Linked DNA regions of Stegostoma tigrinum. The protein of the gene in region 2 interacts with the protein of the main gene of each other region in a biochemical or structural test. Links are inferred from orthologs where the notes say so. Each region holds a gene or a part of one and is shown on either strand. Other genes may lie near its edges.

The links.
Region 1: the proteins of pparg (region 2) and hdac3 form a complex in vitro, tested with the Homo sapiens proteins (3 studies listed by BioGRID, with this or other methods). The link is inferred for Stegostoma tigrinum from reciprocal best matches to the Homo sapiens genes PPARG and HDAC3.

What each region holds. Positions count from the first base shown.
Region 1 is NC_081366.1:12,269,073-12,272,821, forward strand, and holds the start of hdac3 (histone deacetylase 3), read right to left. Parts: upstream 2,877-3,749; 5' UTR 2,826-2,876; coding exon 2,771-2,825; intron 1-2,770. UniProt on the Homo sapiens protein: Histone deacetylase that catalyzes the deacetylation of lysine residues on the N-terminal part of the core histones (H2A, H2B, H3 and H4), and some other non-histone substrates.
Region 2 is NC_081364.1:24,842,440-24,846,188, reverse strand, and holds the start of pparg (peroxisome proliferator-activated receptor gamma), read right to left. Parts: upstream 2,163-3,749; 5' UTR 1,955-2,162; exon of another isoform or gene 1,872-1,954; intron 1,751-1,871; exon of another isoform or gene 1,642-1,750; intron 1-1,641. UniProt on the Homo sapiens protein: Nuclear receptor that binds peroxisome proliferators such as hypolipidemic drugs and fatty acids.

The DNA.
Region 1 (3,749 bases), on a different chromosome or scaffold from region 2:
CTAAAGGAGATCCTGAACCTAATACATTCACACCTTTCCAGCAATTTCTAATCACTATTACTGACATGAAGTGTTAAATAAATTAATTAAAATTCTAAGCTGCTGAGGTAGGGATTTGAGATCTTCCCTCTGGTTCATAAATCCACATCCCTGAATTACTGGCACCATCACGTTTGGGTAACCCTCATGTCATTTCTCCTGTCTCAGTGCAGCACTTGTACACTTAATAACCACTAAGTCATATATCTCCAACATTGTATCGAAGAATGGCCACTTATAAATGTGTCAATGTTCCCCATGTCTCGATATGTTCCCCTTTCTCTATAACTAACTGCTCGTAACCCCATTGGCACCTTCCAGCCACTGATCCACTCAGTAACCACCTCTCCACATAGCTCAGTTCACTGAATCACCTCAGTTATCATAATACATTTCGGTATGTTTCAATTCACCATTCATTTTCTCCCATGGAGAGAGTCTCTATAAACCCCCTTGGTCTCCCTTTTGATAGCCCAATGTGTCCCCTCCCCCAGTCTGTATGTCCGTCTTGATTCATCCTCCTCCACCGTCCCTACGTGCTCCCACTCTCTCGTTCCACCCCTCACCCCACCGTCCCTACGTGCTCCCACTCTCTCGTTCCACCCCTCACCCCACCGTCCCTACGTGCTCCCACTCTCTCGTTCCACCCCTCACCCCACCGTCCCTACGTGCTCCCACTCTCTCGTTCCAACCCTCACCCCACCGTCCCTACGTGCTCCCACTCTCTCGTTCCACCCCTCACCCCACCGTCCCTACGTGCTCCCACTCTCTCGTTCCACCCCTCACCCCACCGTCCCTTCGTGCTCCCACTCTCTCGTTCCACCCCTCACCCCACCGTCCCTACGTGCTCCCACTCTCTCGTTCCACCCCTCACCCCACCGTCCCTACGTGCTCCCACTCTCTCGTTCCACCCCTCACCCCACCGTCCCTACGTGCTCCCACTCTCTCGTTCCACCCCTCAACCCACCGTCCCTACGTGCTCCCACTCTCTCGTTCCACCCCTCACCCCCCCCACCGTCCCTACGTGCTCCCACTCTCTCGTTCCACCCCTCACCCCACCGTCCCTACGTGCTCCCACTCTCGTTCCACCCCTCACCCCACCGTCCCTACGTGCTCCCACTCTCGTTCCACCCCTCACCCCACCGTCCCTACGTGCTCCCACTCTCTCGTTCAACCCTCACCCCACCGTCCCTTCGTGCTCCCACTCTCTCGTTCCACCCCTCACCCCACCGTCCCTACGTGCTCCCACTCTCGTTCCACCCCTCACCCCACCGTCCCTACGTGCTCCCACTCTCTCGTTCCACCCCTCACCCCACCGTCCCTTCGTGCTCCCACTCTCTCGTTCCACCCCTCACCCCACCGTCCCTACGTGCTCCCACTCTCGTTCCACCCCTCACACCCCCGTCTCCTTTCACCCCTTACGCCCCTGTCCCAATGTGCGCCCCTGCCCATTTCACCCCTCACGCCCCCTCCCGTCTCCCCCCGGGTCCCCACGTGCCGCCTCCCGTCACGCCCCCTCCCCCCGGGTCCCCACGCGCCCCTCCCGTCTCGCCCCCTCCCCCCAGGGTCCCCACGCGCCCCTCCCGTCTCGCCCCCTCCCCCCAGGTCCCCACGCGCCCCCTCCTATCTCGCTGCCTTCCGTCTCGCCCCCTCCCCCCCCCAGTCCCCACACGCACCCTCCCGTCTCCCCCAGTCCCCACCCGCTCCCTCCCGTCTCGCCCCCTCCCCCCCCAGTCCCCACACGCCCCCTCCCCCCCCAGTCCCCACACGCCCCCTCCCCCCCCCAGTCCCCACACGCCCCCTCCCCCCCCCAGTCCCCACACGCCCCCACCCGTCTCGCCCCCTCCCCCCCCAGTCCCCACACGCCCCCACCCCCCCAGTCCCCACACGCCCGCACCCCCCCCAGTCCCCACACGCCCCCTCCCGTCTCGCCCCCTCCCCCCCCAGTCCCCACACGCCCCCTCCCGTCTCGCCCCCTCCCCCCCCAGTCCCCACACGCCCCCACCCCCCCCAGTCCCCACACGCCCCCACCCCCCCCCAGTCCCCACACGCCCCCTCCCGTCTCGCCCCCTCCCCCCCCAGTCCCCACACGCCCCCTCCCCCCCAGTCCCCACACGCCCCCTCCCGTCTCGCCCCCTCCCCCCCGAGTCCCCACACGCCCCCTCCCCCCCCAGTCCCCACACGCCCCCTCCCGTCTCGCCCCCTCCCCCCCCAGTCCCCACACGCCCCCACCCCCCCGCCCCCTCCCCCCCCAGTCCCCACACGCCCCCACCCCCCCCAGTCCCCACACGCCCCCACCCCCCCCAGTCCCCACACGCCCCCTCCCGTCTCGCCCCCTCCCCCCCCAGTCCCCACACGCCCCCTCCCCCCCCCAGTCCCCACACGCCCCCTCCCCCCCCCAGTCCCCACACGCCCCCTCTCCCCCCCCAGTCCCCACACGCCCCCTCCCCCCCCAGTCCCCACACGCCCCCTCCCGTCTCGCCCCCTCCCCCCCCCAGTCCCCACACGCCCCCTCCCCCCCCCAGTCCCCACACGCCCCCTCCCCCCCCCAGTCCCCTCTCGCCCCCTCCCCCCCCCAGTCCCCACACGCCCCCTCCCCCCCCAGTCCCCACACGCCCCCTCCCCCAGTCCCTACATATGGCCCCTCTTGCTTCACCCGCTCCCTAGTTCTCTGTACCCGAACCCCATTCCCACTCTCCACCCTGTGTCCCAAAGTTACCCCCTCACTGACCGTAATGGAAGTTGCCCACATCTGGGTCATAAAAGTAAGAGACCTTCCGGGACATGGCGCGCCGGCCAGCCGCCCAGATTGCCACCCGCGCACGCACGTACTGTGTCACCACGCCATGCGTCTGACGCAGGCCGGCGCGGCGCTCGCTCCGACGAGGGGGCGGGGTCAGAATTGACGGGCGGTTTCCGTGGTTACAGCGCCGCGTCTCCCATGGCAACAGGGAGGCGACAGTGTTCAAGGAATTTGGGAACTGCAGATGCTGGAGAATTCCAAGATAATAAAATGTGAGGCTGGATGAACACAGCAGGTCAAGCAGCATCTCAGGGTTCTAGGGTCGGGTTCAGTCCCAGGGCGAACAAGGGATTGTGCTAACGTTGTGGTCAAGGCAAAGGGCAGTGCAAAGGTTAAGAGTCAAATAAAAGGGCAATGCAAAGGTTAAGGGCAATACAAAGTTTAGAGGTCAATATGAGAATTCCCTGGAAGAGCCCAGGCCAAGTTTAGGGTCAAAGTTACATTCAGAGTACATTAATGTCTGGATGTATGGCTCAACTCTACATACCTGTCTTCTGCCCGTTTCCCTTAATATCTTTGCTTAACAAATATGTATCAAATCAGATTTAAAATGAACAACTGATCCAGTATCCATTGCCATTTGTGATATGGAGTTCTGAGCCTCTACCACTCTTTGTGTGTAGAACTGATTCCTAATATCTGTCCTTAACGGCCTGGTCTTAATTTTTTAGATTGTGCCCCCTAGTTCTAGAATCCCCAACCATTAGTAATAGTTTATCTTTACCTACCCTGTCTTTAACTGTTAATATCTTAAAGACTTCAGTTAGATAACTCCTTAATATTATAAAACCGAAAGAACAGTGGATGCTCTAAATCAGGAACAAAAACAAAGTTGCTGGAAAAGCTCAGCAGGTCTGGCAACATTTGTGAAGGAATAAACAGAGTTAACGTTTCAGGTCCAGTGACC
Region 2 (3,749 bases):
GTTTCACTGAGTTAATATGAAAAAAACAAATGAAAACATATCTTTTGAATTTAAAAATTGTACAAAGCATCCCAACCTCCTCAATATTCAGCCTGATGCTTCAGGTCTATGATCCTTCGGTATAAAATGTACAATGTACATGTAGGTTGATTAATAATTTGAATATAATTTCTCCGATAAACTGAAAAAGTGTAATTAGTCAAATAGTCGGGGCCTGCCCACAAATCCATGTGAAATGGAGCTTCAAGAGAGCTGAGGACACCATATGTAACTTGCTTTGCCTGCAACAAATGAAGAAAATATAGTAGTAACACAGTAAATATGAAAAATGTCTTTATTTTTCAAGTCGTCAACACGTTACCATGGCCTGACCTTGTGCAGTAAAAATAATTGAAAAGCATTGGAAGGTAGCTCTGGAAAAGTCAGTAATTTGTAATCTGCTTAGCATGCAGTCTTCTGCTACATTGTCAATGCAGTTAAGCATATTTTCCAGATTTTGTGCTGCAGCGTGGAATCCTGGAAGACCTCGGTGGCCTTTATGGCTTCAGCTGTGGAAATGGGTGGCCACTCACCAGATTCTTCAGGGCCACCAGGATGATAACCTTCCTTTTCTTACGTTGATACATTTCGTCCATTTTCCTGATCCTTGCTTCAGAAACGCTGGCGATCATTCGCGTACCTCCGAGTGTGTGTAGTGTCGTTATGTTTGCAAAATAGTATGGCTTCTTGGACATTACAATCAGAGTCAGCTTTTCAATGCCATCCTGCAACAGCAGGTTCTTTGCTTTACTTTCTGTCATTAAATATTTCATCTTTAAGCAGTAAACAGCAATCTAGCAAAAGATAGTAAATCAGTTCCTTTTCATTGATATTAAAAATGTTCCTTGGTGTATATTCATTTCGGATGTGGGTGAGACCATTTTGGAGCTAATATTACAAGTTTGCTATGATTTTGGCTCTAGCATGTCCTGACACCAGTCTGATTGATTTGAACAGTTACACAATAACGTGTGTATACGTTCTGCTAATCCAGAGTTATCAGTCCAGAACTTAGGTTCATCACAGGCATCCTTCTATTAGATTTCCTGTTCTGCCCACAGAATGGCGGATAACCTGATTCAGAGTTTCAAATTATCTGAATTTGACCCGTCATGATTTCATTGTATTTTAATGTAATTAAATTTATTTCAAAATGCTTAAACATACGTGGCTAAATACTTCAAGGTTTTTTATGAATGTTAACGTCAATAATGTTTCACAAAGCAGTTTAAATTCTTATCGCGAAAAATGCTTAGACCATTGATTAATGCTTTTTACTTGCGCAACATCGTTGTATTCTTCAATGGAGATTTTTGAACAATAGACAAAAGTAGCCAAACATAACATAAACCTAGATAATTTAATTCCCCATCTATGATTAGCATCTGCAAAAGATGAAGTATCAGCGACAGTAACTCCGATAAAGCGACATACCACAGCCACATGACTTAGTGCAACAAACTGGGCACCTCTTCTGAAATATTTATTCAATTTAGCGCTTCTGAAAGGAGTTCACTTAGTTGCTGACAAGAAATAATATAGAGTTGGAGTCATACAAGGTATATATGGTCATCTTTAAAAAAGTGAATGAAACATCCCAACCTGCTCAATAGGACTGTGAAAGTTCTGCAATGTGTTTTCAGGGGTGATGACTTAAGTACAACTGGAGCTGAATTCTTCAGTGCAGAGTACTGTGAGCAAATTGCTCTGTCCAAACTCTTTCCACTCGCTTGGTTACTCGATATTTAAACACCCTCGTACTTGCCCTTCGCTACGTCCCAATGTATTGATTTACAGGCAGTTACATCAGCACTTTTCTAAACGACACTAACCTTGACTCTTCAAAGCATTCAGCACGAATGTCGGTCGCTTCCCCCCGCGGCACTTGCCCGGCAGGAGCAGGCGTCACGTTTACCTGGTTGCTGGAGGTAGATGCAGCTTCTCGCCCCCGATCTTGCCGGGCAGGTTTGCGAGCCGCTCCGCTGTGGTCTCAGGTGCTCGTCGGCAGCGGGTCGCCACTGTCACAGGGTTCGCAGCCACGCGCTCCCCCACTGGCAGCACGGGCGATTGTCACAGCGAGGGGCGGGAAGAGGTGGGCTGGAGCGCGTCACTGCGCGAGAGCGCGCGTGCCCGTCAGCGCGGAGCAGGCGCGCCCCCTGGCCTCCCACGGGATCGAAGCTGACGGCCTGGGACGGTCCGCGCGCCGCCTACCCTCCCCGCTCGGACCGACCTTCCCCGAGTTGCTGGGAGGCTCCGCTTTACTGCGCGCGCACACGCAAGCATAAGCGCGGTGTGGTCCACCCGCAACTTTTATTCTCGGCGGTCACGATCCTTACCACCCTTTATTATTGAAGTTTCCTCAAGCTGAGGGGGAGCTCCCAACTTCCCACGCAAATCGCAACTAGCTTGTGACACGCGAAAGCAAGTCTTTACAGGGTTTTTGTTTGCACTTTTGAACGATAGCTCTGCACTCAGCACTTTTTCCAGTTGTAAAATGGTCAGAATGGTTGAACACTCAAGAAACTTACACGGGACAATCCGCATCTGTTAAAAAAATTGACGACTACTTCTCTGCGTCAGAACATTTGTAGTGCAGGAGGATAAAAAGACTTAGTGGCATCGCAGCCTAAATTGAAGTGTCAAAAGCCTGGAACACACAGTACTGTTCTTTTCTATATAAGTACGGCCTGCGGAGTTTGCCACTGCTCGTACCTCGAAGTCTCTACCATTTCTGCCAATATTTGGCTACACCAACTTGGCGTTTTTGCCAAAGAGACACTTCTTGTATCAGGCAGTTAGCACCCAAAGGGTTAACTGGCATGATGCCAATCAGAATCTGAAGGATGGTAATGGCCTTGAAGTGTGTCTATATCTCAGCTAGAGACTTTGGGTTCCATTCCACCTATCCCAGAGGTGTGTCATAACATGCCTGGACGGATTGATTTAAAATAATTGTATAAGGCTGTTCCTGGGGGGAGTTAACTAGTTCTGCGTTTATTGACAATGTTTTACTAGCAGCAAAATGGACCTACTCTTAAGTTGAACCTGATCGTTCACAAGAGACCATCTTGTATTTCAGATGTGATGTAACTATTTAGTAATATATAACAAATGTATTTACTGTTTCACAAGAATTACTCTTTCTTCTGCTGAAAAGATTGTGTAGGCACCTTCCCCTTCATGAACTCAGAAGCGTGGACTGCTACCACTAAAAAAGGTTAGTGGCAGTGAAGCTACTGAGAGCTTCCCAGCCTGACCATTATAATATGCGTCAATAGTGGTCACCTGAAGATTTAATTTAGCTGCCCATTACAGTATGCTGGCGGCGGTGGACATCACTGTCTCACATAATATGATAGCGGCAGTGAACACAACCTGAAGAAATCTTCAGAACTACAAACACCTCAGCCATCTAAAGAAAGTAAGGAAGGCAATACAGTGTGGAGCTGGAGGAACACAGCGGGTCAGGCAACAGGAAAATCAATGTTTTTCAGGTTACTCCCTTCACCGGGACTGTTGGCACCTCCACATCTTGCTATCTCCGAATAAGAAAGGCAAACTCCTCTCAGGAAACTAAGTCTATTTTTAAATATCAGCAACTCAGAAGTTTCTGTCAGCTTCTGTGAATGGAGTAGCCAATAATTAAATGAGAACCACCACTGACAGCAAGTCCAATGCGGCGAGTAAAAGCTTAGAACAGCTATAAATGG